Schizosaccharomyces pombe: one gene and its partner. The protein of the gene in region 2 interacts with the protein of the main gene of each other region in a pairwise test. Each region holds a gene or a part of one and is shown on either strand. Other genes may lie near its edges.

Evidence for each region.
Region 1: the proteins of SPOM_SPAC2F3.05C (region 2) and SPOM_SPBC3B8.08 interact in a two-hybrid assay, tested with the Schizosaccharomyces pombe proteins (one large-scale study listed by BioGRID).

Annotation. Positions count from the first base shown.
Region 1 is NC_003423.3:3,371,893-3,388,448, reverse strand, and holds SPOM_SPBC3B8.08 (uncharacterized protein), read left to right. Parts: upstream 1-9,877; 5' UTR 9,878-10,009; coding exon 10,010-10,102; exon of another isoform or gene 10,103-10,265; coding exon 10,266-10,634; 3' UTR 10,635-10,740; downstream 10,741-16,556. Other genes in the region: plt1 (phosphate transporter), read right to left, coding at 1-417, 566-586, 642-686, 733-749; diphthamide biosynthesis protein Dph1, read left to right, coding at 1,132-1,335, 1,424-2,530; SPOM_SPBC3B8.06 (uncharacterized protein), read left to right, coding at 3,435-4,970; dsd1 (dihydroceramide delta-4 desaturase), read right to left, coding at 5,499-6,587; U3 snoRNP-associated protein Utp3, read left to right, coding at 11,095-12,888; Nem1-Spo7 phosphatase complex catalytic subunit Nem1, read right to left, coding at 13,554-14,984; RNA polymerase I transcription factor subunit Rrn6, read left to right, coding at 16,265-16,556.
Region 2 is NC_003424.3:3,922,293-3,939,633, forward strand, and holds SPOM_SPAC2F3.05C (xylose and arabinose reductase), read right to left. Parts: upstream 7,641-17,341; 5' UTR 7,345-7,640; coding exon 6,517-7,344; 3' UTR 6,333-6,516; downstream 1-6,332. Other genes in the region: inositol phosphorylceramide mannosyltransferase activity Imt1, read left to right, coding at 62-1,021; U6 snRNP-associated protein Lsm6, read right to left, coding at 1,401-1,429, 1,480-1,593, 1,703-1,787; sec67 (translocation subcomplex subunit Sec72), read left to right, coding at 2,461-3,039; DNA-directed RNA polymerase I complex subunit Rpa49, read right to left, coding at 3,691-4,968; single-strand DNA-binding protein Rim1, read right to left, coding at 5,489-5,592, 5,677-6,025; karyopherin/importin beta family nuclear import signal receptor Kap104, read right to left, coding at 8,922-11,546, 11,669-11,776; SPOM_SPAC2F3.07C (uncharacterized protein), read right to left, coding at 13,236-13,541; plasma membrane sucrose/maltose:proton symporter Sut1, read left to right, coding at 13,761-14,238, 14,305-15,488.

The DNA of each region.
Region 1 (16,556 bases), on a different chromosome or scaffold from region 2:
GTAGATTCTGCTCTAGATATAGCAGGGGCCGCATAACCTCCATCACTAGTTTGCCCATTGAGATATATCTCACGGTTTGAAGAAGTAATGCGAGGCAATTCTTGGCTGCGGGCCATACGACCAGATTTCCTACTCGCTGAGCTCTTTTGTAATCGTTCAGGGGTAGGGTAATTAATGTTGTTTCCCTGACTCATATACTCATTCTCATAGGTTTCAAATTCGCCCTTAATTCTACCATACTGATCAGCAATTTCTTTTTCTTTAGGAGCATAAAATTCAACAATTCCTTGTAATTCCTTGTCTAAAGCAAACATAAAGCGATCATCGGGTGATCTTCTTTCGTGCTCTAACAGCCTAGTTTCTTCATCTGGAGCGCCTTGTTGTAATGTTATCTGTTCATGTTCCAATGAATAAATACTTAAAAATATATGTTAGCAAAATTCAAGTACAATTTTATTCTCCGGCTGTTAATCAGACATTATCCCAAATTTCGCAAGTATGAATTTGTCGGAATATAGGATATATCATAATAGCCAGTCGTAAGCTCGAGAATTTTCAAACATACAGCTTCTTAAGGTTCGAGTAACTAAGCACCGATTGTTAGCAAAAATCGGAAGTAATCCAACAGGTTGTTTACTTACGCAATGTAGCTTTCGGACCATTCCGGTACTGCATTAAATTGAAGACTAAAAAGTAATTAGAACAAGTCTTGTGAAAACTGATGCAACAAACCTATGACTGAATTTCATCTTGGATGACAGAGGTCATTTAACTTCAATTGTGACTAAAAACAGCTTTAGCTTATTCACGCAAATTAATTTGGAACAATCTAAAGGAGCGTTAGCCGTTCAAATTTCGTGGCCTATGATCGGAGGTGAAGCTGTATTCGTGGATCCAACCTCCGATAGAAATAGCGTAATATAACAACGTGTGTTAAATAATATAGCAAAGTGCAATGCTTTTTTACTTAGTAAATTATTTGGGATCCTATTGTATTTTAATTTAACAAACAAGCAATTTGCAGGGAAAAAGGATTTTTGGCATTCTATCAATTTAAATACATACATAGCATTGGTTACTTCTTGGGATTTCAAAGGGTTTTAGTAATAGACTTTATAATTTTAAAACACAATGGCGGAAGTGAAAAAATCAATTCCAAAACGTCGTTTTGTTGGCAAAAAAAATAGGAAGGAAAATAATTTGGATGGTTCTAATAGAGATGTTGAAAATGCTGCTCTCGTCACTATTAACTCCAAGAGGAGCGCTGGACGAGTAGCTACTCAAATCCCAGAGGATATATTAAACGATAAAGCAATTAATGAAGCTATAAAATTGGTAAGCTGCTTTTATTAGAGAAAGATGCCGTAAATTAGTTTCTTCTTTTCTCAAAAACATCAAAGCTTGGTCAGCTAACCTTTAATAGTTACCGCAAAATTACAATTTTGAAATTCACAAAACCATTTGGCATATTCGCTTACGAAAAGCAAAACGTGTTGCCTTGCAACTTCCCGAGGGGCTATTGATGTTTGGTTGTATATTGTCTGATATTTTTGAACAATTTTGCCAGGTCGAGACAATTGTGATGGGCGACGTTACATACGGTGCGTGTTGTATTGACGATTTTACAGCTAGGGCACTCGATTGCGATTTTTTAGTACACTATGGTCATTCTTGTCTTATACCTGTTGATCAAACGCCCATAAAGGTGCTATATGTTTTCGTGGATATAAAGATAGATTTGCAACATGTCGTATCATCTTTAAAACATAATCTACCCTCCAATTCTAGGTTAGCTTTGGTTGGAACTATCCAATTTGTTGGATCTCTCAACTCTATAAAAGACGCTTTGCAAATACAGGATGAAGACGGAAAGGGAGGTTTTTACGTTGTTATTCCACAAGCAAAGCCATTATCTCCTGGAGAGGCGTTGGGATGTACATCTCCCTATATTGAAAAAGGATCTGTAGATGCATTAATTTACATTGGTGACGGAAGATTCCATTTGGAATCTGTCATGATTGCTAATCCTGATTTGCCCGCATACCGCTATGATCCTTACTCACATAAGCTCTCTATTGAATCTTATGCTCATGAAGAAATGAAATCTATTCGGTATTCCGCCGTTGAGAAAGCTCGTACCGCTAAAAAGTTCGGTCTAATTCAAGGTACACTGGGTCGACAGGGGTCTCCTAAGGTACTCGAAAATTTAAAGAATACTTTAAGGAAAAATAATAAAGATTTCGTTTGCGTTTTAATGTCAGAAATTTTTCCTAGTAGATTGGGTCAATTCTCTGATATTGACGCGTGGATTCAGGTCGCTTGTCCAAGGCTTTCCATAGATTGGGGCTATGCATTTCCCGCTCCATTGTTGACACCATATGAAGCATCTGCTGCTTTTAATGTTGTTCCTTGGAAGGAAGTTTATCCTATGGACTTTTACGCTACCAATTCATTAGGTAATTGGACTCCAAATAATCCCGAAAATCGACCTCTGCCAAATCGCAAAAAAACCGGACCCGTTTCTTCTTAACGCTACTTGCCATTAATGGCACTAATACTTGTTATTTTTTAACCCTTATATTGTTCTTTATAGGTTTATTAAAATACCAATAGAATTCTCATCTGATAAATACAATATGTATTACATAAACTACTGCTTTAATATATTTATATTTAAACTATGCACCGGCAGGCGCGTCCCTCATTTTAAGGAAATTTATAAGTAACCAGCCCTACATGTTGTAAAGTAACGATTGAATGTGTCCAGCATACCCCCCTGTTCCATGGCGGTTATAAAATCAACACAAGCAATGCGAAATTTTTTTCTTGTTATGTTGTTCTAACTTTTTTTATGTGAGTAGTTCTAGTAGCTGCAGATAGGTTCAGGATGCTTAGCCAAGTAAGCCAATAGGAATGTTCTTGATCGTTATCACTCCGTCACCGTCCGATTCAGCTTAAACACTCCCATAACCCATTCTCAAAGTGAATCCCTTTTTCTCCCTTCTAATAGTGTTGTTATATATACTTATATATAATAAAAAGGTAGGTTAATAGCATCATATTACAAGTTAACACATTTTGATGAGAGAATTTCATGCTATGATACCGGAGCGGATATGTCTGCGCAAAAATCACTCCACTTGATTTGCATATATATCGATGATGGCAGAAGTGTTATTAACTCTTTTTAGATTCTAAAAGTTCCAATTGAAGCCAGAAGTGAACTAACTAATAGTTCATGCGTTTGATGCTTTAAGGAACTCAGTTTTCAGGGTTTAATTTATAAATATAAAAGAAAAAGGAATAAAGTAGAGCTGCTAACCCAACTCGGTTTTCCCTTTTATTTGATTTGAACAAATTTTTTTCTTCCAAAATTAATTTTGGCACCAATTAGTTAACTTTTTTCTGAACATTTTGCAAAAAAAAGCGAAAAAATGGATGGAATGCACATGAATTCCACGGGAGATAATCCCATCGAAATTGATTTCGAAAATTATGCAAATCACATGAACAAATTTCTTATGGCTCATATCATTTGCATGATAATTGCTTATGTATTTATCCTTCCTGCTGGAATTGTACTCGCTATGGCGAAAAGTAAAGCACATATACCCGTACAAATTGTATATGTTATTTTGACCCTTATTGGGTATATTTTTGCTCATATAAGTCATCACAAAGCATCGCCTGAAAATTATTACAAAGGAAATATTCATCGACCTGTAGGACGATTTTTCATGTGGATTACTTTCTTGATAGCAATAGTAGGCATTACAACTTCTATATTAAAGAAACGAATGTTGAAGGAGTACCAACCTGCTGCCGAGGCTCCAGGTGCGATGGAGGATCCTGAGCAAGCCCTTCAAAGAAATAGTTTAGATGACGGTGCACCTTTATTACCAAGAGAGGGTAATTCTTCTGATGAATATCTTCCACCTCAATCATCCCGTCGCGACGTATCATCTGAAAAACCATCAATCCCAAGTATCTCCTTCATAAATATTAGGTCATGGCGTACAATTCCTAAAAAATGGTGTGTCCTCCAGGTTCTTCGTTATTTCCATAGAATTTTAGGTCACTTATGGTTATATGTTGGCTTTTTTGAAAGCTGTACAGGAATTGTTTTGTTAGCTGGAATTTTTAAAGGACAACATATTTTCAATGGTTTGGCTCATTGGATTAAGGGCGCCATATTTCTTTGGTACGGCATCTTGTCCTTTGGTGAATATTTAGGTGCTTTCTCCGAGTACGGTTGGGCTTGGAATGTTGTTCCCAAGCAACTTTCTGAAAAAAGATTTGCTAAGTATGTACCCACTAAAGAAATGGTAGAGTCATTTTTGCTCTTTGCTTATGGTGTCTCAAATGTTTGGCTGGAGCATTTGGGAAATACTGATGGAAAATGGAATCATCACGATTTGCAACATGCATCATTAGCATTCATGCTTTGGTGGGCCGGTCTGTGTGGTATTCTTGTAGAATCTAAAGTTGTCCACCGGTTGTTAAATGCTACTTTATCAGCTACACTTGGTCAGCGTCGCTCTGAAGATTCAGAGCATTCGGAGAATGGCTTACCCTCATACAATGTGTTTCCTGCTCTTACAGTATTTTTCACCGGTATTATGATGTCTGCACATGACCAAACCAATCATGTCTCGACCGTCATTCATGTCCTATGGGGAAGATTATTAGCTGCGGCAGCTATAGCACGTATCTGTACATATATTATGCTATACTTGAAACCTCCCTCCTCTCCCTGGCCTACTCGTCCACCTACTGAAATAATTACCAGTTTCTGTCTTATTTGTGGTGGTGCTATGTTTATGGCTTCATCTTATGATGTTGTCAACAAAATTCGCTTGAACGAAATGTCACCAATGCTTATTATGAACATCTCTGTCGCGTTTACTTGTATTGTTATGGGGCTCGAAGTAATGTTCCTAATACTCAAAGGTTATGCTAGTTCAAGATAACTTTTTTGGTTCTAAATAGATTATTTTAAAGCAATGGCTAATGAAGTACTTTATTGGTCATTTGTGTTTGTTATTTTTTTTGGTTTTTTTTAGAATTCTTATTTTTTAGATTTCTGTTTGACTGTTGCGTTAGGTATAAGTTTTTTAATACTTTCTATAATAATATATGCCAGCTACTTTAACTTACAAGATAAAGAAATTTGGTTTTTGTCGTAATTTTGCTAACGTTTTTATTTTTTCGTTTTTATGTGTTTTAGAACATTACCGTTTGCATAGCCAAAGTAATTTATTACATATGAATAATGAAGCAATTAAAAAAAAATTTGACAGCAATAGTATTTAATAGAAAAGTAGTGATCAATTATTAAAAATATTAAGTGAAACACGCCTCAAGTGATTAAGTTAATTTTCAATCTGTGCAGTCGAATTAGATGAATAAGTAGCACCACTACGCTGAACGAAAAAAATAAATCAAAAATGAAGAAGTAGAATTTAAATGAAATAACCGAAACCCAATCATCATCATATTTATGAAACATGAAGGTGCATTGATTTAGTTGGAATATCAGCATGTTTTTGCTTACGCTTAACTCGGCACCACATACCAACATTTGAATCAGTGATGAATTGATAAATGATACCGCACCAACTCTTACAGTCAGGAATGTTGTCATAAAACTCAGGAGCTAATTCGCGCACTTTGCCAATGCGAGTCCATGCAACATAGGGAAAGTCGTGATGTTCAATATGATAACCAGCATTATAAACAAAGAAGTTGAGAGGTCCGTAATAACTAAAGGTCTCCAAAGGTGTTTCCTTACCAGGACCGGAGGCAATAAGACGGGTGCGGGTCATGTTGTAATGTTCACTTAAGAAATGACCAGCAGTTGGATGCAAGCTACCGGCTAAGAAAGAACTCATAAAGAAATAGGCTAATGCTCTCCATCCAACATATCGCACAACTAAATAATCGAAGGAAAACTGAACGATAATATTCCAAAAGTGCATTAAAGTGAAAGGAAGACGGCGAACAACAAGGGGACGGAATGCGTAGAATAAAAGCTGGAAAGTGCAAAAAAATGCCTTTCCAAGCACATTATCAAATAAAATAAGTTCGGCACGAGTGGGCAAATCAGTGTCCATACCATCAACACCTTGATAGGCATGATGTTCCATATGATAGGGCCGAAAGCTTGCAGCAAAAGGAGCACCTACAGGTAAATTAGCAAACAAACAATAAGCACGATTGTAAAGAGTTTTTTTAAAACCAAGGTTGTGACTCAACTCGTGAATGGCTAAAAAGAGATTTTGGTTGCAAAAGGCACCAATAAAGTAGGCAGTTAAAAAGAATTTCCAACTCAGTAGTGAACTTTGTGAAAGCAAGTAAGCACATGTGAATTGGAGAGACACCACGCCGAGAACAATCCACTTGGTCAAAGGTTCATAACCATTGAGAGAGGCGATCTCAGGATGGGCCTTCAAAATAGCAGCACGACGACTTTTATGAGGCTCTTCCGTGTATGTCCAGTAAAATTGATGAACATCTTCACTATCAGCATTCCAAGACTCTTCTGCTGGAGGTGGAACAGCGGTAGTTGTAGCAGTTGATTCGGCCATGTTTCGTTTCTAAAGAGATGCTTAACGAAAAATGAAACAATGCAAGTAATTATGTTTTATAAAAGACACAACAACAAGAAACTTAACAAAGTATTATTGAGGGTTCTAAACCAGATGTATCAACAACTTGTTCTAACAAACAAAAAAATATATATAATCTGGTTAGATTGATATGTTAAATCTAGTCACCGAGAGCTTTATGTAAATTTCAAAAAGCTCACGTATAGAACTAGGGAAACAATAGCTATTGAAAGATACTTGGCTATTCAGGATAGAGGAAGAGGCCAAGTAATATACAGCACACAAGTTTCGGAAAGTGACAAGGAGCTGGGCTCGTAAACAAATCTCAGGAATAACGCAATTTAGGCGAGTGGCTGAAAGATGAAAAGCGGCAACGTTTCGTAAACCTTGTAATAAACGGATAACAAAGCAAGGACAGTTAAGCTAGCTACGAACTAAGGCGCAATTGGACTTGTTCAAACACTAGGCAAAAAACCGTAAAGAAAAGACAAGCTTAAAGAGAAGAACAATAAGTCTATGAAAGGAAATTCTATTTAGCTGACAAATTCGATTGGCACAGAAAAATCAGCTTAATCTCTGTAGAATTCCAAACAATGCGTTGCTTTTCAATACAGCTAGTGGTGTATGTTGAAAAAAAAAGCGGGTCAATTAGTTGGGTGCAATTAAGTACTTAACACACACGAAATTTTGCTTCCTTACGCAACTGTTGCAAAATCCGAATAGGGTAGTAGAAAGACAGAACGAAGCAAATTTTTTCGGCAAATGCTTAGAATTCACTTCAAAGGCAACGTTTGTTACGATCCTCTACGTTAGGTTGGCAAAAAGGTGGATTGCGTTCTTGGCGATGTATGTATGACCGACTGGTTATACAATAACTTCTCCAACGAAATGATTTGCACTACAACTAACGGTATCGGCAAATTCAAACAATTTTTTGCTTCTATCTCTTTTGGTAGTTAAGCTCGTTAACCAATGCCTTAACAGCTAACTCGTATATATAAGACCACTCATTCTTTTTAAAGCAAAGAAGCGTGTACCAGACGACGGAAGGGGCGGCAAAGCTTTCACTTTAAGTGACAAAAAGCTACATCATGCTAACGGTTTAAAATACTCATGTTGGAAAGAAGTGGACACAATCATATGGTTCCGCGCATACCGAATGTAAAAGATGTGGGTGTGGCACACTAGTGAGGTCGATATCGGATCCCCCCACAAGGTACGAAAAAGGGTATCATGGGTAAAGCAAAGGTAGATGGAGATGGTTAGCTAGACTAAGACTTAGGAGTTAATGAGGTGGGGGAAATGAGTACTACGGGGGGGGAAGAGGTAATGTTGGGTATGTAAGTAAAGAATAATAGTAATAGTGGCTATGGAAAGTAATACAACATATACGGTGAGATGGGATGAACTGAATGAATTAGTATAAATTAAATGAACTTTAGTGAAGTTACATGAGACGGAATATAGTAAATAAAAAAAAAATAAAATAAAATAAATTTTGAAAATAAATAAATAAATTAAACTATGATGAATACATTTGTTTCCTAAAAAATATCTATTAATTTATTTATTTACATTTTACAAAGGAAGCATTGGAAAATACGAATGGTGAGAAATATGTTTAAAAGAAAAGCTTTCCATTTGAATACTTATTAGTACGAAAACGAAGTTAATGGAAAATAATAAATATAAAAAAAAAAAAAAAAAAAAAAGAATAATAACAATTTTCCTCAACTTTGCACAAGTTGTATGTATAATATACAAAGAAGTTTGGTCCGAATACCCATCATCTAAATAGCTTCTTAATAATCCCGTTCTATGCCATCTCCCCTTGACTGTCGAGATTTTCTTTTGTTTATTCTTTTTTCAATCAAGTTTTTATCTTATCGCTAGTCTTTGTACACAAGTTTTTCCTTCGCATCTGCAGTAAGCAGGAACGGAAAGGAAAAAGGGGTAAGGAACAATTAGGGTTGCTTTGAAATTTCAATGCTCAAATTCCAACATGCCGTACGGGAAATGATCGGGAAAACTTTCCGCTTTTTTAGCAATTTCAAAAGTAAAATTTACTACTTGTAACATATACGTATTGAAATTCCGCCAAACCTTCGTTACCATTTGTCTAGCCTCCGAAATCAGTAAACAAGGCAAACCGTCTATGTTCCTTAGTAAATAAAAAAAAACTGTCGCTTTGTAATATTCTTTTGTTCATTGGGTAAAGCATTTGGGGGTCTATGTATCTAAAAAGAGTTAAATTAATCTATAAAACAATTGCTTGGTTGAAAAAAACATGATTGTATTTCTCTAAATTTACGAAAAAGTTTACCTTTTTTGTCAATCCGCTAAATTTACCAACCTTATGATATTAATATGAAAACGAAACCTGAAGCGGGTTTCCAATAAACCTATCTTTTTGAGATGATTGTTATTTGCACCGACTATGAAATAAATAAACACCATCATCTATTATGCTAATTTGTGCAACATACTTAATTAACAAGTACTCTACTTAATTTAAATCATCATGAGAGAAAGTAGCAACTTGATGAATAATTTTATGTAATTATTTTGTTTTTTATTCCTATTAATATTTTGGTATTTGATGTAATCAATTCAGCTCGAATATATATTATTTTATTTTATTTTTATTATATCATCTAATTAACAATAAATATATTTCATCGAATTTTCTTACGAAGCTCGTTCATTGTTTCATTTTTTTTTTTCTTTTTTCTTTTTTTTTTTAAATTATTTGTGACGTTAGTCTGTTACACTAATACCCGTGACTTTAGAAAAAATGAGTTATAGAGGAATTATTAGATACATTATTACATCGTGTTTCGGAGAATTACAGCAAACCCCCATTAATGGTGCTCTTACTAACATTCACAGCTTTCATTCGAAAACGCATTTTTGTTTTGCCATTAACTTTTATACTAAAAAAATAGGGTAAAAGTTAGAACAAGTGAAATAAAATCAAGTGAGAAAAGGGATTATATTAAATAAAGGAAAGATTTAGACTTTAAAAAATAAAAAAATTGTATGGGTTCCATATATCGTTTTTTTTAATTAATTTACCCTAGTTTTTCAAATCATTGTACTGTAGCAGCGATTAGTACTTGCACACACCATTAAAGAAATCAAAAGTTCAGTTTTCAAACTCCAAAACTTTCAGTGCAGCGTTTTTTTTTATATAACTCTGTTTATTATATATACATAAATTTTTTGTCTTTCTTTAGTTCTTCGATTCAACCTACGCTCATAGTCTCTTTACAGACAACCTACAGCATTTTCGTCAAAACTAAAATTTTCTAACAAGTAGGGAAATAACTCAGAACATAAAATATACAAACACTTCTTATTTTTGTATAAATCGGTTCTATAACACTACTGTCTTTAGAAAAATGTTAACACAAGACGAGGTCTCCGCTCAACTGGGTCAATATATGCTCCGCGGCTATACTCTCTTGGATACCATTTGTCCGAAATGTGAAAAGGTAATTAATTTTGTATTTAGTCGTTGTTTAAACTTCAGGTGAATACAATGGCAAACGGAATGATATTAAGGAAGTCAGTTTTCTTTTCTCAAAATGCTTTTGCTACCTTGGTTTTTAAAACAAAACCAATTTTACTATTACCCTTTTTCTAACACTATTCTAGGTACCTATGATGCGACTTCGTGACAACCCTATGTTTTGTGTTTCATGTATAAACGACCTAAAGGAATCTGATGCCTCTGAACATGTAACAGTCGCTGAATCTGCTCCAAAGATAGCTTCCTTACCTATATCTAAAACAAATGATGCGGAAAGATCACAGCAAACAACAAAGGCGCCAGTTATGGAAAGAACTGAATCAAGCCATCAAGCCACTTTAAGCGTCTACTCGAGGCTTATTTCAGAGTTGGAAAGTCAGCTTGACGATCGTCTTCCTCTACCACACAATACTGAATTCCTTGACGTATCATTACAAAGAATTGAACGTATTTTAAATTTGATTTCACTTGCAAAATCGCTAATGTCGTCTTAGGTGTTTTTGTAAACAATTACAAGTCATCTATAATTACAGGGTAATTGACTTCGGTGAATATCAATTATTTAAAAGAAATACGAGATTTGCAAACGAGTTAAGTCCTTTAAGTCTGTTTCAATAAACCGCATAACTTCAAAACAACTGGCAACTATGACATTAGGAGAGTTTGTCAACATGAACCATGCATCTCACATAATTGTGTGCATCGAAAATTATACATGTAATGATTTTAAAAGAATTTGATATGTAAATACTTATTCTTGGAAAGAAAACACCTCTAATTAACTTTCTTATGTACGGAGAAGTCCATGAAAATAATAGTGTGGAATAATGAGTTGCTTTATTTTTAACAAAATTAAGTTTTTATTGCGTTAAATTCGCAAATAAAACTTGCCTACCCCTTTAGTGGCTCCTCGTAACTAAAAAGAATTTTTATATTTGTCAACTGCATATCAGTATGGCTAGAAAGAAGTCGAGAAGCTCTTCTACTCGGAAAGGTTCTTCTTTAAAGGTACCAGAAATAAAGGAGAAAGAAAAGATAAACGCAATCAATACATACGAAGATGTTGCTAATTCAGAAGATGAATTCTATAACGCACAGGATAAAATTTTGTTTGATGCTGACAACGGCGAGCAAGCAGACGAATTAGAATTAAGTGATGAAGAACTTGTGGCTTTAGAAAGTTCTAGCGATGAGGAAGATGGGAACGCCGAGGAGAATTTATCAGAAAATGAAGAGCTCTCGGGCAAAAAGAAAGACGCTGTTAATGAGGAAGAGTTATATGATAATAAAGGTTGGGGTCGCTCTGCAAAATCATATTACGGTGGGGATGATTATGACAATGAAGACTACTCTGAGGAGGACGATGAATTTGACGCACGAATGGAAGAGCAAGAAGCGTTGCGTTTACAACGTAAACGTCTTGAAAAAGTCAGCGAAACTGATGCTATTGATGATATTAGTCAATGGGCTGATAACAGTGACCTAAAATCTATAAAACAGGATTCCTCTGCTGCTGCAATTGAAGAACTTGTTCAGCAAATTTCACCTGATCTCCCTCGTACAGAGCTTTTAAAGATTCTAGAAGCTAAACATCCTGAATTTCAATTATTTTTAGATGAATTAAATCAATTGAAACCCCAGTTAAATGAAATTAAGGAGAAACTTAAGACTTATCCATCTTCTCAGCTACTTCAAGCTCAATGCACCGCTCTGAGTACTTACATCAGTTTTCTAACATTCTACTTTGCCCTCTTGAAAGATGGAGAGGAAGATTTAAAAAATCATCCTATTATGGTTGACCTTGTTCGTTGCAAACAGACGTGGGAGTCTTATTGTGGGTTAGATGAAGTATTGACTCCAACTTCTCTCGAGGAAGATGGAAAAACTATCGAGCTTCACGAAAAGATAGCATCGGCATCTGACATTGGTGCGTCCGAAGATGAAGAAGATGTTGATATGCACGAATCAATCAGCGATAATGAAAATGAGGGCATTAAGGATATTCCAGTAGCTGAAGATGATGATATTACTTTGAAATTTCGAGCCGCTAAATCTAAAATTAATACTAATATTAAAAATCTCGATGACTATGGTGAAGGCAACAGATTGGACGATGTTGATGCTGAAGACAAGATTGCTAGGAAACGCTCTTTAAAGTTTTATGCTAATCAAATTGACCAAAAGGCAGCTAAGCGTTCCAGAGCGGTACTGGAGTTATCAGGTGATTTGGACATGCCATACAAAGAACGAAGATTTGAACGCCAGCAGCGATTGATGAGAGAAGCTGCAGCCAGGGGTCGAAATCAGGATGCTGGTGCTGATCTTGATGATGAAGATCCGGAATCAATGGGCATACCTGCAAATGTCGATCGTGAAGTTGAAGATCAAGATGATTTGGATTATTACGAGTCTCTCGATAAAAAATCAAAGATGGCTAAAAAGCTCCGTAAAGAAAATCACGATCTCGAACGTGATTTAATAAGAGCTTCAAGGCACCCAGAACTAATTGAATTAGGTGAAGGTGATAAGCGTGGAATTACTTTAGACATTGCTAAAAATAGAGGATTAACTCCCCGTCGACCTAAAGAAAATAGAAATCCTCGACTTAAAAAGCGTATGCGCTACGAAAAAGCTAAGAAGAAATTAGCCAGCAAAAAGGCTATTTACAAGGGCGCACCACAGGGCGGCTATGCTGGTGAGCAGACTGGTATTAAAGCTGGTTTAGTTAAAAGTATTAAACTTCAATAGAAGTGGTGGTTGGTATTGATTCAACTATTAATTCTGCATATATTAGGTTTTTTGAATTTTCGTGTTATTAGATACATATAATAATAATGTGGTTTTGGGTTATGTTATTTGCTAGAACAATGTCGTTAGCCTAGTGATATGATTTTAAAATGCTAAAAGTCTATGTAATCTGGTTTATAATCATTAAATCATTTATAATCCTTTGCCCATCCTGATTAAGTAAGTTGATTGTAATAACAGATTGAAAAGTAAAAAAAAAAGAATCAACACTTAAATAGAATAAACATGTTTATTAAAAGCTTGATTTAGAAAGAAATTTCATAAGTAAGTTGCCTTCGTAATTGCTGCGAACATCAGTGCAGAAACTAATCTTTCTTAAAACATGCGTTTAGTTTATTAGAAAGAATTTCTTACGATTAGGCTTACATTAATTGACATATTATCAGCAAAAAGAAACAAAAATTATTTAACTGGAATGGCCCAAATGCGGTCTAGGAAATATCCAAAAGGTACCCTTTTGAGGTTATAACAAAGAAGTTTGATGATGAGAAAGGAAAGGCACCCAAGATGTTAATGCAGTAGAAAAAGTTATTTTAGACCATCGTTACTGGTGATAAATAACGAGTAAATTACTCACGAAAAAAAAAAGGAATCATGAAAAGCACTTATTTTGCGAGACGAAGCCCCAAAAGATCTCGCACATCATGAACATATTGCAGTGCATGAAGAAAAGAAAGTAAGTTTAGTAAATCAACGTCAGAGGGGTCGCTAATCCAACCTTCAATAGGTATGGCATTTTCTTTATGAGCATTGTAACTGGCTGGAGAATTATCAATTATCATGATCCGTGAAAGATGAATATTACAAATGGAAATATCTTTAACGAAAGAACTATCGACAAGTGCACAGTGTTGACGGTAGTATCGTTTAGCAAATATTTTTTTATCACGCTCCAAATAATCAATTATTGGATCAGCATATGGCTGGACAGATGCTGTGAACAAAATAAGGCGAAACCATTGACTCACATTTGATAAAAAGTAGTCAAGATGAGGCCTTTTGTGAATATAGTAAAGGATTGGATGTTCACCAGGCACATGTACTTCAATTGGCTGTCCAGAAGTCGTTCGACTACCACGAGACACGGAATGGATAAGTGTTTCATCCAAATCTAATACAAGGGTCTTTCTCGGTAACTTGCTATTCAACAAAGGCCTCGGTATTTTGTCCGCACACAGAGTAATGTTTCTAATACGGAGACGGGAAGAAGAAGGAGATTTAAGAGGATCATTAACTATCGTAAAGGAGGAAGGCAGCTTAGAAATATTGTCATTAGCAGGCGGGGAAAACTGAGTTGATTGAGGTTGATGCGAATGTCCTGAACGATTGGAATTTGCTTTTCCCATTAGGGAGACCTCTTTGGGTTTCATAGGAGAAACACACACATCTTCTTCTGAATTCAATGAATTTGAAAAAGAATTGAAAGAAATTTCTTCTTCTGCAATAGAGGGCTGAAAACGAACATGATTTCCATTAGAAGAACTGCTATAAGAATTAGAAGATCTATGTCGTTTGAAAGATGAATAGGCAGGATCCTGGTGAGAGGATGGGTAAGAATAAGAAGAATAAAACCTAGGACGGCGGACACTTGGCTGAGGGGGAAGCATCTCTCGGCGTTTATACGATAATAATACAGGAAAAAAGACAAACCGGCATAGACCCCAAAAAAAACTTGCAAGGGTAAACTCTTTCTCTTCATTCAAAAAGTGGTACAAAAATACACGAGCGGAATGAACGAAAAACGTATAAATTCGTTTCAGGAACACACGAATCCAGTAGACGACAACACGCATAATGTTGGCATGCTTCGGTTTTTCATTCCTTGTAGGAACTTCCTTTTCCGTCGGTTTTGATGACAAACTGCTAAGGCTGGACGCCGAATAAGACGATCTACGACGATTATAATGCCTCAAAGTAGCTGATGAAGCTCGCCCCCGAGCATTAGCAAGTTTTTCTTTGTCAGCTTCATCGTCGTCTAAAGGAGTGGCAAGGATTGCTTTATTAATTTCATCTGATAGCCTAGCAATCGAATTCATTACAATTATTTTCTCTCTGCTGCGATTGCAAAGAATTAAAAAATTCACCAAAAGAAGCGATGCATACAAAGTATACAACGACCAAGCAGAGTCCTTTTAGTAAAAAAGAGTAATTAATTAAATATGTGTTAGTTAGACCTAAAATATGTGGGAAAACAAAGCCAGAATCACACGGTGGTACGATGCACAATATATATAATGATGAACTACAACCCAAATAATAACATTTTCATAAGACGTAATGCTTAAGAAGATATATCAAAACTACCTTAAAGTAACAAATTTAAATGTAAACAATACGGTGTAAATATTTATTAAGTTCGTAAAATGAAAGTTCATTGCAGAAGCTTTCATTTTTTTTAACTAATAAACTTTACTTGTATGGGTTTCTGTGCAAGAAAAATTAATTTTCATTTTATTAAAAGTCTAAATATTTGTAGAAGCTAGCTTAATTGCCATTCTTTTAATCAACGTTTTGCTAGAATGTAAGTCGCCGAGCGGTCTTTTTAGGTTTCTTGACATTACTTGAAAGATGCTTTTAAGTCTAAATATATTTAATGGTACGTTAAAATGTATCAAGCTCCTTTAGACGTTGCATACAATAAATTACTTACAAATAACAGGCTGAACTAACTTATTGACTTTACAAAATTATAAACATATCGATAAAATTGGTTAAGCGGACACTAAAGAGAATTCAAAACACTTGCTAATCTGAATATTGCACTCTTCCTCAGGTATCAGCACCTCCTTACGTATTTTTTATGAAAAGGGAAAACTGGGCTAATGCAACATTCGTAAACCAATTTATCTATTGCTAAATCATTCCAAAATCGTAAGCGTTTGCATTTCATTGTAAAGGAGATTGTTTTGTTGCTGTGTTAATCTACATGTAATTGATAGCAGCTTAGAGACTTCGGAGAAGAACTCCTCTCCTACTTGAACACTGTCTTATGACTAATTTAAGTATTACTTTTAAACTTCATCTTTTTCTAGTAAAGAGAAATTCTCAGTTAACATAAATCAATAAATTGTTCAATTGAAAGCATGTAGTCGGTAGGAGTTATATTTTATATAATTATATAATGGTTTAAAGATAGCACTTTAAATATATTATAGTATAACAATAAAGTCAAGTTCTTAACTATAGGTGAAATTACTCCAGCATTGCTTCCTTGAAACACTGATTACTTGCTTTGTCGCTAGGTTGCTCTTGTATTGTCGTTAGATGTGTTTTTGTAAACACAATTCAATCTAATTTTATTTTTCTAATTATCTTCATGTCAACATGGCCTATTGATGCAATTAGTAAAAAACCTAGTGTAAGTTTGGATTATGGAATTATAGGGGCGTGTCAACTTTTAAATCCATCTGGCTATCACAGAGCGGAGAAGGTTGAAAATAATGAATGGACTTTTGCTAGGTATGACTCCTATACGGGCGTCGAGCTTGTTGACTTGGACAAAAGATGGGATATCTTATCTTTAAATCCAAACTACAAACTCCCTAAATTAACTGAGCTTCCTGCTGAGGCCACCAATTCCACGCGTAAAGCGACTAGTAGTTCATTTG
Region 2 (17,341 bases):
TTTTTTCGCTTCTTTTGTTTTATCGTTTTGCTGCCGAGGTGAATTACATCTGTTTGCAATCATGGGAAGGAAATGTCGCAAGCTTCTCTTAAAGGGAATACCTATATGCGGCGTTATTTTGTTGATCCTCTGGGGCTATTCCCTTTATAACACATTGAGATTTATGGTACCAGGGAAAGCGACTGAACCTTTTACCTTAAGTTTATCGGATGTATCAGATGATACTAGTGCTCCAGGAGAAATGGAAAAAATACCAAGAGTGATTCACCAGCTTTGGAAGGATGAAAATATTCCAGAGAGATGGTCTAATACTGTTAACTCTTGCAGGCGCCAACATCCTGATGAAAACGGCTGGCAGTTCATTTTATGGACAGATGAAAAAATTATGTCTTTTATGAACGAAAATTATTCCTGGTTTATGCCTGTTTTCCACAGCTATCCTTATAATATCCAGAAATTTGATGCTGCACGTTACTTTATTCTCTATCATTACGGCGGCGTATACATGGATTTGGATATTGGGTGTAAAAAACCCATGGATCCTCTTCTAAGCAAAGCTACTTTTATATTGCCTTCGACGGAACCCATTGGGTATAGCAATGATTGGTTTGCTGCTACACCAAAGCATCCATTTCTGTATCAGGCGATACATAACTTGTCAAAGTTTAACCACCGTTATTTCACTAAATATCCCACGGTGTTTCTCAGTGCAGGACCTTTATTCCTATCTTATCAATTTTGTAAATACTTACTTACGCCGCATGAACCAGTGCGCGTCTTACCTGCTTTACTTTATGGAAACGGACCTAATTCATTTTTTTCACATGTTACTGGTGATAGCTGGCATGGCACTGATGCTAAAGTATTTATTTGGATAGACCGAAATTCAAAATCTGTCTTATTTTTTGCTTTTTTGGCTGCGTTCGCTATCCTTTTCTTATGTCTAAGAGTTGTCTTTAAACGGAGAAGGAAACGTGGAATTGCGGCTTCTCACTCACAAATACAGGAGCTATATCCCTAGTCCCTTCGTTTCTATAGATGGGCTAAATGGGTGATTTGGCTATTGAAGAAATTCAAAGGTAAAAGAAGTGTATATTATAGTTTCATTTGATGACAACTTGAAAAAAAAAAATGATGCCAAAGTCATCGTCTCTGTGTTTGTTTAACGAAAACGGTTTTTTTTAAAGGGCTATAAATTACATTTACTTCTAAATGATACATCAATATCTACAAATATATATCCTTCATTGAACTCTGGCTCTTCTTTTCAACATTAGCATAAGAACTTATTATGTATACACGTGTTTGTATTTTTTAACGATAATTTGTATTTTATGCAAATTACTTTAACCAATCTTGTACCATAATCGTATATCGTATTGAAGGGCTAGAAATCGTCTCTAATCATCTAAAGCAGAAACATATAAGACTGTTGGACGGTAGTTAGGAAATCAAAGCACTTTAATATAAATACCATACCATTGTTTCCACGAATAAATGCATCTCCATAAACATTCGTCTTCTTGCCATTAACGTATTCTTCTGTGCGTTCAAGGGCCAAGTTCATATAACCATCAAGACAACTGAGGATTCCTAAAAAACAGGTTTAGTATTAACAAACCCTAAATAACGGAAAAAAAGTTAAAGCGATAGAAACAAATTGCAAACTTGCATTGTCTCCGACGCAATTCATGTTAAATACCTTTATAGTCGACACCAGAACTTAACCGGATAAGAACTTTTTTGCCGATGACCTTATTCAAAAACTCATTAGGAGAAGAATCCATTATCTTCCAGTTGGTTTAGAGAATTCAGCCTTTGAAGGGTTTTCTGTGAGTCGTAAATTGAAGTAGACACCAACTACATTGGTAACCTCAGTTCAGGGTGCTCTTGCATATAATGAAGAATAGCATTATGTGCAAAAATGTATACCGTGCAAGACTACACTACTTTAATATACACTTCGTTGCGTATCACTATATGTGATATGTTGGAATATCAGTTGAGATCTGGTTATTAATAATTATGGGTAACTATCCGCTAACTAAATAAATTTTATTAAAAACACCCTTTAGAACAATTATAAATAGAGGTACAGCTGAATCTCGTTCCTCAGTTTAGTTAAAGCTATATTAATGATAGGTAACAATAGATCGTACATAAAATATTATATATGTCCTCGGTTGCTACTTGTATTACCTGCTTTTTGCAATATTGCAATATAATAGATCATAAAGCTCATTGCAGTTCTACACATCGTTAAAATTAAATAACAAACTGCGTAGTTAGTATTTATGTGTGTTAAAGTATTGTGACACGTTCTGCTAACACTTTCAAGTTTACTACTTGCATTGAACATTGCTTGTCTTCTCTAAATTATTTGTACATAATAATCCATCCGAGCTTTGTGCTTTACATTAAGAGCAGCTTCACTACTTCTTCTTTTAAAACTTTGCTTCGATGGTTGCTAAACAAGAATCGGTGGTTGCACCTCAAGTTGATGTGTCAAAATGGAGTGGGAAGGAATTGGAGTTGGGCAAAAAGGTTAATGAATACGCCAAGTCATTAGCTACGTTTAAATATCCTTTTTTTATTCCACCTCCCTATCCTCCTGCTAAGCCAAATATGGCCTTGTCTACCCAAGTTAATAAGATGAAGCAAACTGCAAACGAGGCATTTAAACGCAAAAAGTATGAGGAGGCAAAAAAGTTATATGGATTAGCATTACAACTCGCTTTGAATCGCTGTACTTGGGAACCGTCGATTCTTACGCGTGAAGAAGCAAGTGTTATGTTGTGTAATCGGGCGGCTGCTGAGATTGCCCTTTCCCAATTCCCCGAAGCTTTAGCAGATGCAAATGCTGCTTTGAAAATTCGAAATAATTATGGAAAGTGTTATTATAGGAAAGCAAAGGCTTTGGAGGCAATGCATCGCATAGAAGAGGCTAAACAGGTTGTACGAGACGGTTTAATTTTGGCAGAGCCAGTTACGAGAAACGAGTTGGTGGCTTTATGGGCAAGTTATACTGAAAAAGATTAAAACCAACTGTATCATGGTTTCAAATGATCATTGGATTTGCACGCTCCTTTTATTTCCTTTCTTTGTGTTGTTTCATATTACCATAAACACTTACGGCCACATAATTAATCCATTTCAAAATTAATACTAACTTGATATTATTGCCAATTCATTTAATGCTCAGGTGATTGTAGCAATTACTGTATACAAAAGACCATCCCCTAGCACATCATAAATACGGTGGTTTTGAACATGAATCTAAGTTTCGATTGTCATTTGTTACCCTATAGTCAAACAACAATGTTATAACTTTCCAAAGGATTTATTGAGTAAAACGGTAACTTTTTTGCTTGAAAGTTAGTTACCATCTAAGTCACCCTTCTTTGCCTTATAGCAAAAGTATTATACAATGCAAAATTTTATTATTTTCTGTACTTCCACTATAATAAAAAAACACCTTTAATCCCGTATTCCCATAAGAAGTTTCTGAAAATTTGTTGGTACTTTATTTGGATATCTCAATGTCGCTTTGACGTCCAAAACAATTATAAGCAGTGGAGATATCGAACATCACGAACTTCAGTAGTTGTTTCTTCTATATATACCGTCCTTCTTTTTTTTTAAAAAAACACACACACATTTTTTTGAAAATAAACAACGCTGTACTTTTCTCTAATTTCTAGCGCGTCCACGTCGAGGTTTAGGGAACTCTAGGGGAATTTTTAATACTGCACGCTTATGATTTTTAGCATCAGTTTTGTTAAGACCTAAAGCCATTCTTTGAGTTTCGGTGTAAGCCATAATTCGACAACCCACCGTTCTAAAAAGCTCATTAGCCTTCATGGTCTTGACATTCAAGTCATTTGCCAAGGTAAGAACATCAGTTGAGTAATTATCAACGATTAAGCACAATACCAGAATATAACATATGATTTTATCAACTTCTCGAGATGATACTTGGACGCTACCAATACCGGTGGTTTGAGTAAAACGTTTAATCAACCCATCAATAAGAATCTCTGGTGGATCAGCCAATTTTTTACGTAAAGTTTCACGGTTGCCCACAGAACGACGAGAAAACAAAAAAGCTTGCAAAAGAGAAATGTAATACAAAATTCTCGCCCGCTTCTGGTCAACCTCCTCAATGGAAAGTAATCGCTGGAAGCGTTCATTAATAAACAAGGAGTGACGGTACGGCAATAATTTGGCCCAATTGCGCTCGTCAGGGTTTTCTAACAGAGGCTTAATGTAAATAGCTGAAAACTCTTCTTTGGGAATAATGTCCTCCAATTTGTATGCATCTTCAATGGATTCAGCACCGACATTGACAGGAGGAATAGGGCGATCTTGCGCTTGAGCAGCAGCGATATCTTCTTGCGTTGGAAGTGCTTCAGTAGCTTTTTGAACATTACTAACCAATTGATCCTTGACATCTCCCAAAGTTTCAGCTTTGACACGATTGGCGGACTCTTCCATAATAGCTTTTTGACTTTTTCTTGTACCAAATGCCAAACCCAAGTTGGCACGCTGTTCCATAACAGTACCGCTTACAGTTCCATGCTTCTTTTTCAAAAATTTGTCCTTCTCCTGAAGTGCCAAAATATTTCTTTCAAAAGTATTAAGATACTTTGCTGGAACAATCTTTTTTACACGACCAGTTTTATCAGCAACAGCTAAACAGTAATTTGCCTCAACCGTAGCCGTTGATTGATTTTTAGCCTCAAATTGAACACGCTCTGTCCTTCCAATTAACGACGCATCTCTGTTGCTCTGATTGCTCTTTTTGAGAAGCTGGAACCGGGTATTTTCGGGTGGATAAAATCCGGAAATTGTCGTGACAAGTGGTGGTAAACTCGATTCACTCAAAGGCAATATCTTAACGGATTTTTCATCACCGGAATGGGAATCTCTATATTTCCGCTTCTTGCCCTTTAACTCGTCACCTGCCATTCCAATAGTGGATGCTGTTGGTAAAAATGCTAGCGCTTAAAGAGCTTTGCTTGTTTGACGAAGTGTAGTGTACAGTCACAGAGGCTGCGAAATCTAACTTAACGAAGTTTGAGGATCAGTCATTAAATGAAAAGAATTAAAGAAACTGAATATTACAAATCGTAGAGTACACTTTAAAATAAAAAAAAATGATTATTAATTTACTGTAAAGGACTAACAAATTTGTCACTTTGAAAAAGAAGGAGTAAAGGTGACTAAGTAATTCCTAGAACGCAATGAAAACATTACAGCAGAGACATTATTGTCTATAAAAACAAATCAGAAGAGCCATGGGTAGATTATTTCCAGCGGAATAATGAAATAAACATCAAATGAAAAATACATAGCAATACCAAGTATGTGCATAATGCAGAGAAAATGAATTAGGAGACTTTTTAAACTCAATAATCCCTAGAAAAATACCACCCAAATATATTAACGGTCTAAAGTGCAGAAAATTTTTAAACTAGAAACACGAATTTTAGAAGCTGTTAATCATAGGATCTGCGTCTAATTCAGGATGAGTCTCTTCTCCGGATTCATCGCCATTTTTGTTACGAGGATAAAATAAAACGTCTGCAGATACTAATAAGAGAGGTTAGTAAATACTATATTCTGTTTTCAAATTTTGCTTCAGGCTTCAACTTGGACCATTGCAATGTTGCGTACCATGTCGCAGGCTCATTTTCGCTTGAGATCCTTCATTTCCAGCTGGGACGGAACGCCAAACAGCATCGGCCTCCACATAAACACGCGTTCCCTTCCTTAAAATAGTTTGAAGTCTGTCGAAATTGTAACTATCGAAAACATAAACCGAGTGAAAGGTAGGGGCTACGTCTTTTCCATTATTGGAAGCTACAGTATAACGCATATATTCGTTTCCTTTTTGAGACTGCAAACGCTCAACGTCTTTTGTTAAATTGCCAGTCAATGTCAAACGTTGAATATCTCTATAACGAACAGTCGATGAAGAAAACAGTCGTTTGGAAAATGCTCTGCTGGATTTTAAGAATAGCATGTTTTTAGTACCTTGAGCTCACAGGAAAGCAATTAATGGAGTCTTATTGTGTGGTGTTGTGGATGAGTGAAGTGCGCATACGTCGCATATACGAAGCGAAAAGTACTTGGAGAAGTGTGTGAATTGATAAAACCAAAGTTAGGGTAGAATTTGCTTTTAATTAGCTACATAGTAAAGAGTCTGAATATATTTCTACCCAAAATGAGCCATTTCCATGAGGTACTTTAGGTTTCTAATAAGTTTACGATACATTATGCTAGCATTTACAAATCAATGGAAGTAATACGAATTTTCTAATCTATGATCGTATATGATAAAAGTAATATCGGATTCATACTAATTCATACTAACAGTCATTGGATGCATGTTTGGTATATAAGCTGACATAAATTGAGTTTCGTAAATTCTATCATACTAGCATATCTAGGGATAGCAGAGGAAATAAATAATAAAATGCATTCTCTGCTCTTACAAGACGATCATTTAACATATTATAAAGGGGAAACGCATGGGTTCCAATCCGAATGATAATCCTCATCCAAGTTGTAGAGCTTCTCCATATCCTCTTTAGATATTTCGAAATCGAAAACGTCGCCATTCTCTTTGATCCTCCTGGGAGTAGAACTCTTGGGAAGTACAATGAATCCACGCTGTAGACAGTATCTAATCATGATTTGAGCCTCAGACTTGTTATACTTGCTAGCAATGGCGAGAAGTTGCTTGTTGCCAAACTTTTCACCATGAACAAGAGGAGCGTAGGCAGCAAGTTGGATACCCTTGGATTCACAGTAATCGACGACTTTTTGTTGGGAGCAAAAAGGGTGAAGTTCGATTTGATTGACACATGGTATAATCTTTGGATGGCTGTCCAACAATTCCTGGATGTGATGAGGACCAAAGTTGGAAACGCCGATAGCACGAAGTTTTCCCTCTTCAACACCTTTCTCCAACGCCTTCCATGATTCAATACGATCACCATAGGGAGAGTGAAGAAGAAACAGATCAATATAGCCAAGGCCACATGCCTTAACACTGGCATCAATACTGCTCAAAGTAGATTTGTACCCACTTAAATCATTAAGCTTGCTAGTGAACCAAATATCCTCTCGTTTCGTACCAGTCTCTTCCATGAACTTAAGGATGGCTCTTCCACAGTCAGCCTCGTTGTGATACATCTGAGCCGAATCGATGTGTCGATATCCGCATTGAAGGGCAGCATACACCGAATCGAAGCATTTTGTACGATTCACCATGTAAGAACCGTAAGCAAATTGAGGGCACTTAAGTCCATTGTTTAACTTAACAAATGATCCCAACATAATGTATGAACAAAAAAATAAAATTAAATTAAAAGAAAAAAGTCAAAAATTAATGAACGAGGAAATTGATAATTATTCAATTAAGCAATCAACGAGATTCAGCAAAATTGAATATAACCAAGCTGTTTTTCAATGCTATTGAGTATTTTTGAAATATTCAATATTTTCAACTACCAAAGAAAAGAACGTTATAAATTCTTTTCACTAAAATGGTATTGCTAACCCGACATGCGAACAACACAGTACTATTTATACCATGAAAAACTTCTGATATAACATTAATGAGTGGTAATGATAAGCAACATCCCGAAGCACCATCACGTTTTTACCTTACGTACAGCGACATGTAAAGAATGATGTTAACCCAGCTTTTCGTCACAAAAGTTCGTTAAGCTTCGAATTCGTACTAATCGATCGATGGAATTCAGCAATGTTCGTTCGAGAATGAAATGAATAAAATGCTATGTATGAGATCAATCGAAGCTTGTGACAAATGCTGAATCGCGAATATAGCGGTTTTTTGAGAAATTTGTGATTGAGCGGGTTTTATAGTTTTTAAGCGGATTTTTATGCGAGAGCAAAAGACTGAACTCCAATAGTAATTATTGATAAAAATGCATTTAATGAACAATGCGTTTGTACTTGCTGAGTATTAGCTTAATTGACATCAAGGTGTGGTAGACTTATAATCAACAAGAGAAAACGCTCTCAAGTTTTATTATACATTTTATTTATCTTACCTTTAAACATTATTCGTGTCTTTTAAACCGACGTAAATGTATGATTAAAATAGTATGGAATGCGCTACTTTGAAATGGACTGCTCTACCAGACTATTGCCGCTCCATTCCATATGTGAAACATAGGGAAAAGTTTTAAACTACAATGATTAGTTTTCGTTGTTTGATTTTTTTACGTAGACTGCATGAACGTGAATTCAATTCAATAAATAATATTAAGTAAAAGAATTTTCGCATCAGGAAGTAAGTGATGAAAAACGATTGTACATGCAACAGAACCCATTATGCAGGAAATCAACCTTTTTTGTTTGAATGTGCAGCCTCAATTGAAAGATAATCATCGGGTGTTTTTGCTTTCCTCAATATCCTTAGGCGAAAGGGGAAATGCAAGTTAAAACCTTCCCACTGCACAGATGGCCGAGAAATAAAAGGATTCAGATGATGATTCTTTGATAAATGCTGTTCTTCTTGAATATTTTTTGTGTTTTCTTACAAAAGTCATTGAACCGCAAACATACATGAAACATACATACAAACGTCGATACTTGGGCGGAACTATTAAATAAAACCAAACCCAAAAGTACCAACCCTTCTGGGTTTGGTTATTTTTCCAATTTTGTTTTCCGTCATTCTTGTAACCTCAAATGTGCAATATGCAAATTATTAATATCTAGTCTTCCTTGCATTTCTTCTTCCTGTTTTCCACATTCACCTGAATATCCTAATATAATACATACAACTTGTTTCATACTTTTTGTTTTTAAATTTTGTTTTCTCTTTCCTTCATAAAAAAGCAACAAAGAAAAGGTGCTTATTGAGCTTTTCAAATGTGAAATTTTTAGACACCATACTGTGCCTGAATCTGTGCGAGCACTTCAGGACTCGCTTGCCAGGATGCCTTACCATTAAACAACTCCACAGATCCTTGTAAAATCTTTTGAAACATATCACGAAGTTCGGCTGAAGGATTTTCATATTCGGCCACACAAAGGACAAACATTGGCAACAAGTATGAAAGTGCTTGTGGATTGCACGCCAATATGTTGCAGAATCCCCTAAACGCGGAATCTTTCTCTTCATTCTCACCCACCGTTTTGATGATTTCAAACCAAGGTTGATAAAACAACTCTAGGTGAGGGGCAACGAGCTCCGGGTTATAAACACCCAATCTGCCTATCGTGATCGCAACATTCTCAAGTACTGTAGTGTTCGATTTTTTAGATTTGAGGATACAGATCAATCTCTCCAATAACGGCTTTACCCATTGTTGCATGTCTTTTCCTAATTGCAAAGCCATTTCGCCAGCTGACCAAATAGCGTTGTTCGATGCACTCACATGTAACAAAGGAAGTTGCATTTGGGGAAGCATATCCACCAATAAAGCATCACAATACGGGCGTATTTGGTCAAAGCAGTACATACACATATCTCCCAACAAAGCATAAGCAGATTGACGAACTTCCGGCACCTCATCCTTGGCACAAATGCCAATGATTTGACCGAGTGGTGGGTCAGCTTGCGCAAGCAAAGGACTAACTTGACTACCCAAAGCTTGTATAATTCCACTAACCAAATCCAATGTAGTAACAAGGAAATCCCTATCTGGAACGTCAACTGTAGGATCATTTTGTGCAGTAGTGATTAGGTATAAGGTGTTGCGAAGAATTCGGAACGTGCGTGCATACGTTTCAGCTGCAAATGGCGCAAATCCGTCACGCAAAGCCACTGCAACAGATGAAAGACACTCAAATAGAGGGAAAAGATTAGGATCATCATCAGGAATCATGGACCATTTTTGAAGTAATGGGGTAATCAATAGTTCGATATACCGTTTATCATTCAAAGCAGATCCTACATAATCAGCGAGGGTCTGAACTGCGTCGTACAGAATGAGCACATTCTTGCGTTGGTACTTTTGGAATGCAAAAGCAAGGTTGGTAAGGATCGGTTCTAGATAAGGAACTAACGAAGGGCCAGCTTGCTCTTCCAGAATTGCAAAAGCCGAGCAACCAGCCTCTTGCACTTTTTTGTTATTATCAACCACCATGCGAAGCAATCCTTGCAAAAGTGGGACAAAGTACTTTTGACGATCCTCCTCGGACTCCAAACACGAAGCCCACTTGGAGTATCGACCAAGGGTCCAACATGTAATCGTACGGACCAGTGGCTTTTTACTATCTAAAAGCGAAAGAAAGTAAGGGTATAATTCTGGTAAATATTGAACCATTCCATCCATACAACCTTCTGCAATGGCACCAACGGCCAAAACACCGGCTTCTTGAACTTTCCAATCTTCACTCGTAAGACTTTGCTTCAGATGAGGAAGAATGATTTCAAGTAACCTTTGCTTCCAAAACGATGATAAAACATCCAGTGCAGCAGCCGAGCACTTTCGCAAATTCCAATCCATGAAAGCGTCATCATCCTCGTCAAATTCATCATCATCCTCGTCTTCATCTTCCAATTCATCAGCATCGGCGTTGGAAGAACCTTGTTGAGTAATTGGTCCCTGGGTATTCAAGGTAATCCTCGATTTACCCTTTGCATGCTGAGGACGAATATCCTCTTCTCTATCTTCAACATCATAGTCGTCAGCATCATTACCAAGTAACAGCAAGTCCATGTCTGAATAAACCATCCCTTGGAGAAGCATGGGGACTATTTTATCCAAATAAGGACCTAAAGCAGAGCAAAGATCGGGTTGTTCAGCAATTGCAAGCCAAAACTCACAAGCTTCTAATGCGACATTCTGATCAGAATCTTGAGTAGAGTACAACATGTATTCGACAATGCTTCCCAAGGAGGGTGCAATTTTATCAGGACGGACATCGAGCAGGTAAACAAGAGCTTGACAGACATTTTTACGCACATTTGGAGAAACGTCTGTTGCTAAGGCGTAGCATGTTTCAAGGAATGTATCAATATGGGCATAGAGAGATTGACTTTGAATTAGAACAAACTGGTTCAGACAGAAAAGGGCGTCCGTACGAATTTTTGGGTTCTCGTGTCGAGCAAGTTCAATAAACCGGGGTATCATAAAATCCAAGGGACGAGTACCATTGAAATCACGATCTAACTCTTGAGCCGAATCCTCACATATTTTAGTTAAGGCGCTGAATGCTCCTTCTTGAGTGGTAGAAGCAGGGCTAGAAAGCATTTCCATTAATTGTGGCAATACTTCAGGCCAAGTACTAATTCCCCAACGACTAATGATTGTAGTGATCACATTACCAGATATGCCTCGAATGAGTTGTTCAGGGTCACACAAACCGCGAATAACTGTTGACTTTGTGTAATCGAGGCTCTGCAAACCTGAACCAGACTCTAAGCTTGAAACACGAACATTGTTCTTCAACAAAAGACCAGCAGCAGATCTAATTGAAACACTAAGCTCCGTAGCGTTGATGAGAATGCAAGTAAGGTAATTATTTAGATCTGGTATATCCTTTGCTTTCTCAAGCAACTATAATAAAGTTAGTTATGCCATTTGATTTCTTCTTCACACGTCGTTACACACGTGAAGTAAAAAGAAGCATCTTCTACAACGAGAAAGAAACTTTTAATTTTAGAAAAAAAAAATCTTACATTTAAAGCAGCATTCCTAGTCTGAGAGTTTTCGGAGAGTGAATTCTTTATCACTTCTGAAAGTTCTACGAGGACTTGTTCCTGGAGAACCCAAGGATTGTCCCCCATCTTACTCTGTACTTACTGTAAGAAGTTGTTGGTAGTAGTTCTCTGATGAGTGTGGGGAAGGCAGGTAGTACCATTCCAAGCAATTCCAAGATTTACATTTACCAGAGTGGTATGCTATGATTCGTTAAAAAATAAATGGATTCCAGTATTTGTTTTCACATTTAAACATGTATTGACAGGATTTTTCTACCAAGTAAAAAGTTCATATTGCAAATTTCCCGTAGACGCATCTCAACACTCACAGCACAGTATAATGATCTCATGTATTAAATAAATTAATTTACAGAATAAAAAAAAAAGAATTTTAGCACGTAGCTCCCCTATATCACTTTAAATTTGTTGATTTTTCTTCAAAAAATTTACGAAAAGTCCATTGGGTTGCATGTTACCTGCTGACGAAGAGAATAGCACTGTCTATGGAAAACCATGCAATGTTATTTAGGAATTTAGGGGCGGATTGATATTGTTTTGAATACTAAAAAAGAATTATATTTAAGCTCCATGTTATTCAAGAGAAGTATTTGAGCGACAAGCCATGCGCGGATAACACCATTGAGTTTAAATTACTATTGCTCGAACGTGGCAATATTTTAACTTCTCCAATTTATGTTCAGGCCCAATAAACACGTGCAAAGAAAGCTATTGAGTAGCATAGACAATTATCTAGGTCAATCATAAATATGTCTAACTCTGTACATTAACCATAAGAAGAATTATTCATCGTTATAAGGAATGGCTGCGTTCTCCTTATTTTTTTACAATATTTATGTATATACTTAATCACGTTAATATAGCTTACGAGTATACTGATTGCAACATTGTGTTTCGCTAAATATATATCGTTTCGCTACGAACTGCTCTTTAGTTTTCAAGGATGCAATAAAATACCGTAAAAGTTCTCCATTTTACCGGAATATTGCTGTATTCAGAATGCGCCCCTGGAGATGTTTATTGATATGTATACATATTCTTATAATAATATTGGAAGTGCGATAGCTACTAGTAAATTGATGAGTGCAGTTTAAATTTGATAATATTCTATATAGTTTTAATGATTAAATTAAGATTCAAATATACTAATCATCATTAGGACTTAACGGCATCTATTTATACGATATTTCAAAAAGATAAAAAGCATTTGACTTATACAGGAATGCAGTGTGCCGCGGTGTAATGTCCTATAGTGCAGAATCACAGTGTAACGTCAACATGACATTTACGCGGAGCTGGGCTGATGGAGTCGCTCCTCTAAACCAAGCATATTAAAAGGTGTAGTAATTTGAAAGGATTCATAAGAATTCATACTTTTAAAAGGTACTTTATTAGTAAGGAATTATTTAATTATTTATTATTATTTCTTATTCCTTGCTTATTGCTTTAAATTGAAGCTTTTTGCTTATTGACGATTTCAAAGTAAGTACACGATGCTTTGTTCTATGTTCATTTTAATCGCTTTTGTTCAACTAACCTGTATCTGCAGACATTCATAACATTTTCTTACGTATCCTTTCTTTTTGTGACTCGTCGTTGAACTTTCAATCGGATTCTTTAGTTTTCTGCTTTTCTGCGAACTTAATCTACAAATTGCCATTTGAAACTTTCGAGCATCACTGGGATTGGTATCGTTGTGAAAAATTATATGTCTAATACTTTCAAACATTGCTAAAATCAATATAATAATTCTTGAAATCCCCGAAATTAGAAGGATTTTTATCACATATTCGATTATACTTCTATCATTTGAATTATTCTCTCTGACTAACATTTAAAACATTGTGGCCTGTTGTATGCTATCAAGGATCAGATACATTCATTGCAAGTTAGACAGCGATCAATTATTTTGAAAAATTAAAAAATCATTTCTCTCAATCATAATTGAATCCCCCTGAACTTTGTTGTAGGAACAGATATCTCTTACCAAAGAAGTTCCACCAAACGTTCCTCTCATTTCTCTTTTGCTTTTAAAGCTTAGTTTCATTAAAATATGTCTGTAGATGAAAATCAATTGGAGAATGGACAACTTCTATCCTCCGAAAATGAGGCATCATCACCTTTTAAAGAGTCTATCCCTTCTCGCTCTTCCCTCTACTTAATAGCTCTTACAGTTTCACTTTTGGGAGTTCAATTGACTTGGTCGGTTGAACTTGGTTATGGTACACCGTATTTATTCTCACTTGGTCTTCGTAAAGAATGGACTTCAATTATATGGATTGCCGGTCCTTTGACTGGAATATTAATTCAGCCAATTGCTGGTATATTGTCCGACCGGGTTAATTCAAGAATAGGTCGGCGGAGACCGTTCATGCTCTGTGCTAGTTTGTTAGGAACATTCAGCTTATTCCTTATGGGCTGGGCCCCTGATATTTGCCTCTTTATATTTAGCAATGAGGTTCTAATGAAACGTGTTACTATCGTTTTGGCTACGATTAGCATTTATTTGCTTGACGTGGCCGTCAATGTCGGTATGTGAATTTAGGGATTTAGTTTTCAGAGTAGTAGTTCATACAAATGACTAACTTTATAACTAGTAATGGCTAGCACTCGATCTTTAATTGTTGATTCAGTCCGTTCAGATCAACAGCATGAAGCAAATTCCTGGGCTGGAAGAATGATAGGTGTAGGCAATGTGCTTGGGTACTTACTAGGCTATTTACCTCTATATCGCATCTTCTCCTTTCTCAATTTCACACAGTTACAGGTGTTTTGCGTACTTGCCTCCATTTCCTTGGTACTCACAGTTACCATCACAACAATATTTGTGAGTGAAAGGAGATTCCCACCAGTTGAACACGAGAAATCGGTTGCTGGAGAAATCTTTGAATTTTTTACAACTATGCGACAAAGTATTACCGCACTTCCATTTACATTAAAAAGAATTTGTTTTGTTCAATTTTTTGCATACTTTGGATGGTTTCCATTTTTGTTTTATATTACTACCTATGTGGGTATTTTATATTTACGCCATGCTCCTAAAGGCCATGAAGAAGATTGGGACATGGCGACTCGTCAAGGGTCGTTCGCATTACTGCTTTTTGCTATCATTTCTCTTGCCGCAAATACAGCACTTCCATTGTTGCTCGAGGACACGGAGGATGATGAGGAGGACGAATCGAGTGATGCATCTAATAATGAATACAACATTCAAGAAAGAAACGATCTCGGAAATATAAGAACTGGTACTAATACACCCCGTCTTGGTAATTTGAGCGAAACAACTTCTTTCCGTTCGGAAAATGAGCCCTCACGACGCAGGCTTTTACCGTCTAGTAGATCAATTATGACAACGATATCCTCCAAGGTACAAATCAAAGGACTTACTCTTCCTATTCTGTGGTTGAGCTCCCATGTCCTTTTTGGTGTTTGTATGTTGAGCACGATATTCTTGCAAACATCATGGCAAGCGCAGGCAATGGTAGCTATCTGTGGACTGTCCTGGGCATGTACTCTATGGATTCCATATTCGCTATTTTCTTCAGAAATAGGGAAGCTTGGATTACGAGAAAGCAGTGGCAAAATGATTGGTGTTCACAATGTATTTATATCTGCCCCCCAAGTGTTGAGCACCATCATTGCCACCATTGTATTTATTCAATCGGAGGGCAGTCATCGAGACATCGCCGACAATAGTATAGCATGGGTGTTGAGAATTGGAGGTATATCTGCATTTCTAGCCGCGTACCAATGCCGGCATCTTTTGCCCATCAACTTTTGAAAGAATTCAGATGATGAATGTCGCAAAAATATGCAATTCGATGATATGTGAACATGAATATTATGAATAATTTACGATTGACGAAATATGAGTGAAAGCAATTGCTGTTTTTTCTAAAAGTGTAATTTGAATAAAAGAATGGAGAGGCAACGAAGAGTAATGGCATTATCAAAAGGATTTGTTTGATTGGGCAAACAATACACTGTCAAGATGGAAAAGGAAAGTTTTTCTTTGCATTTGATACAAGATTCATACTTGTGTAGAGTATAGCATGAACCAATATAAAAGATATACTTATAGTGTATAAAGGATATAAAAAGTAATAAAAATGAAAATCAACTTGATTGGACTATCTCTCTATTAATGGACACAAAAAAAACCATGGTGGCAGTAGTAATACTAGCAGATGTTTGAACTTTCTCGATTGATCCGAGTTTAAATTAGTATACAGTAAGAAGAAGCGAGCTTTGCGTAAGAAAAAGGGCAACAACACCATGTTGATCACAGTAAAGGGAAAAACAATGCATTGCCAAGCTTGTTTTCATTACAAAAAGAAAGAGTTAAAACGGAGAAAGAGCCTCAAATTAAGCTAAAAGAGCCAAATTATAAAAAGAATTTTCAGTCATATAGAATGATAATTCAGTATAATAATATGTTTGTAAGCATAAGAACTTTTGAAAGCTTCCGCTGTAATAAATAACATGTTATGTAATTCTCCATGTGCTCTTTCATCTAATCGGTCATACCATTATGAACATGCAATTAGCATCTAAACTACCTGCCTACTTTGTATAGCCTGCCAAGTCAGCTTAGTGTGTTAGGTAGCTAAGACTCCGTGTCCTCCTTGTCTAAGCCAAACGACCCAACTCGACAAGGCGTTGTCGCAATCTTCCCGCTAAGCGGTAGTGGAAATTTTTCTTCCGCACTGGCGGTCGGATTGTCTGCGAGCAAATCCTGACAAGGAACAATGGGGGTTTACGAGTTTAGGGAGCCGACCGCCCCGCTGGTGAACAAAACCGGGTGTAATTAAGTTACAATTTCACTTAGGAAAAGCCCGAGGATTTCAGAAAAAAAATGATTTCCATACTGCGCTACAAAACAGAAGTATATTAAATTACTATTGTAAAGAATGAAGCGATTTTAGAAAAGCGATGACAGTTTTTGTAGGTGCATGAATTGTGGTAACATTTTTCACTACTGCTTCCTCTAATGCACAAACTCCTTTTACCTTTTACCATCCCCAGCTTGGTTTGGACAAAATTGCGACAGCCACAATTGAACGCGTATTTTTTCCTGTTATACGAAGGAATAATATAATAAAAGTGTTTTTTTTCTTGGGAATAAAAAAAAAAAGTTCGTTGATTCACTTTCTTCTTTTAATTTTTGGTAAGGAACGAGACAGGCAGTGTCTCTAGCAGTTGTGTTTATAAGGACAAAATTGCGCTGAAACCGCTTAAGCGAAGGTAAGACTACGATAAAGAAAATCCATAAGGCATGCATCGTGCACCCGCACAGTCATCCTTATCCTCCTCGCCATTTGCGCATGCATCTCTGAATGGAAAAGCTGCTCCAAGTTGATTTCATTTTTACTAGCGGCCATCTTGTTTCCATTCGTTTGGGGATGCATGTAATTAGATGCGCCATTATTGGGCGTTGACATTTACTTCCTTCGGGAAATTGCCGTCGGGGATTTTTTTTTCTTGTTCGTGAGTCTTGTTGGTGCTTAAAAATAGCGAGGCGTCCGTTTCAGGATTCATTACTAACCTAGTTCCTTTTTAGGCCCGCACAGCGATTTGTAATAGTTGCTATCTAGGACAATCTTGACGAAATCCGCTGTTGCAATAAAATCCGCA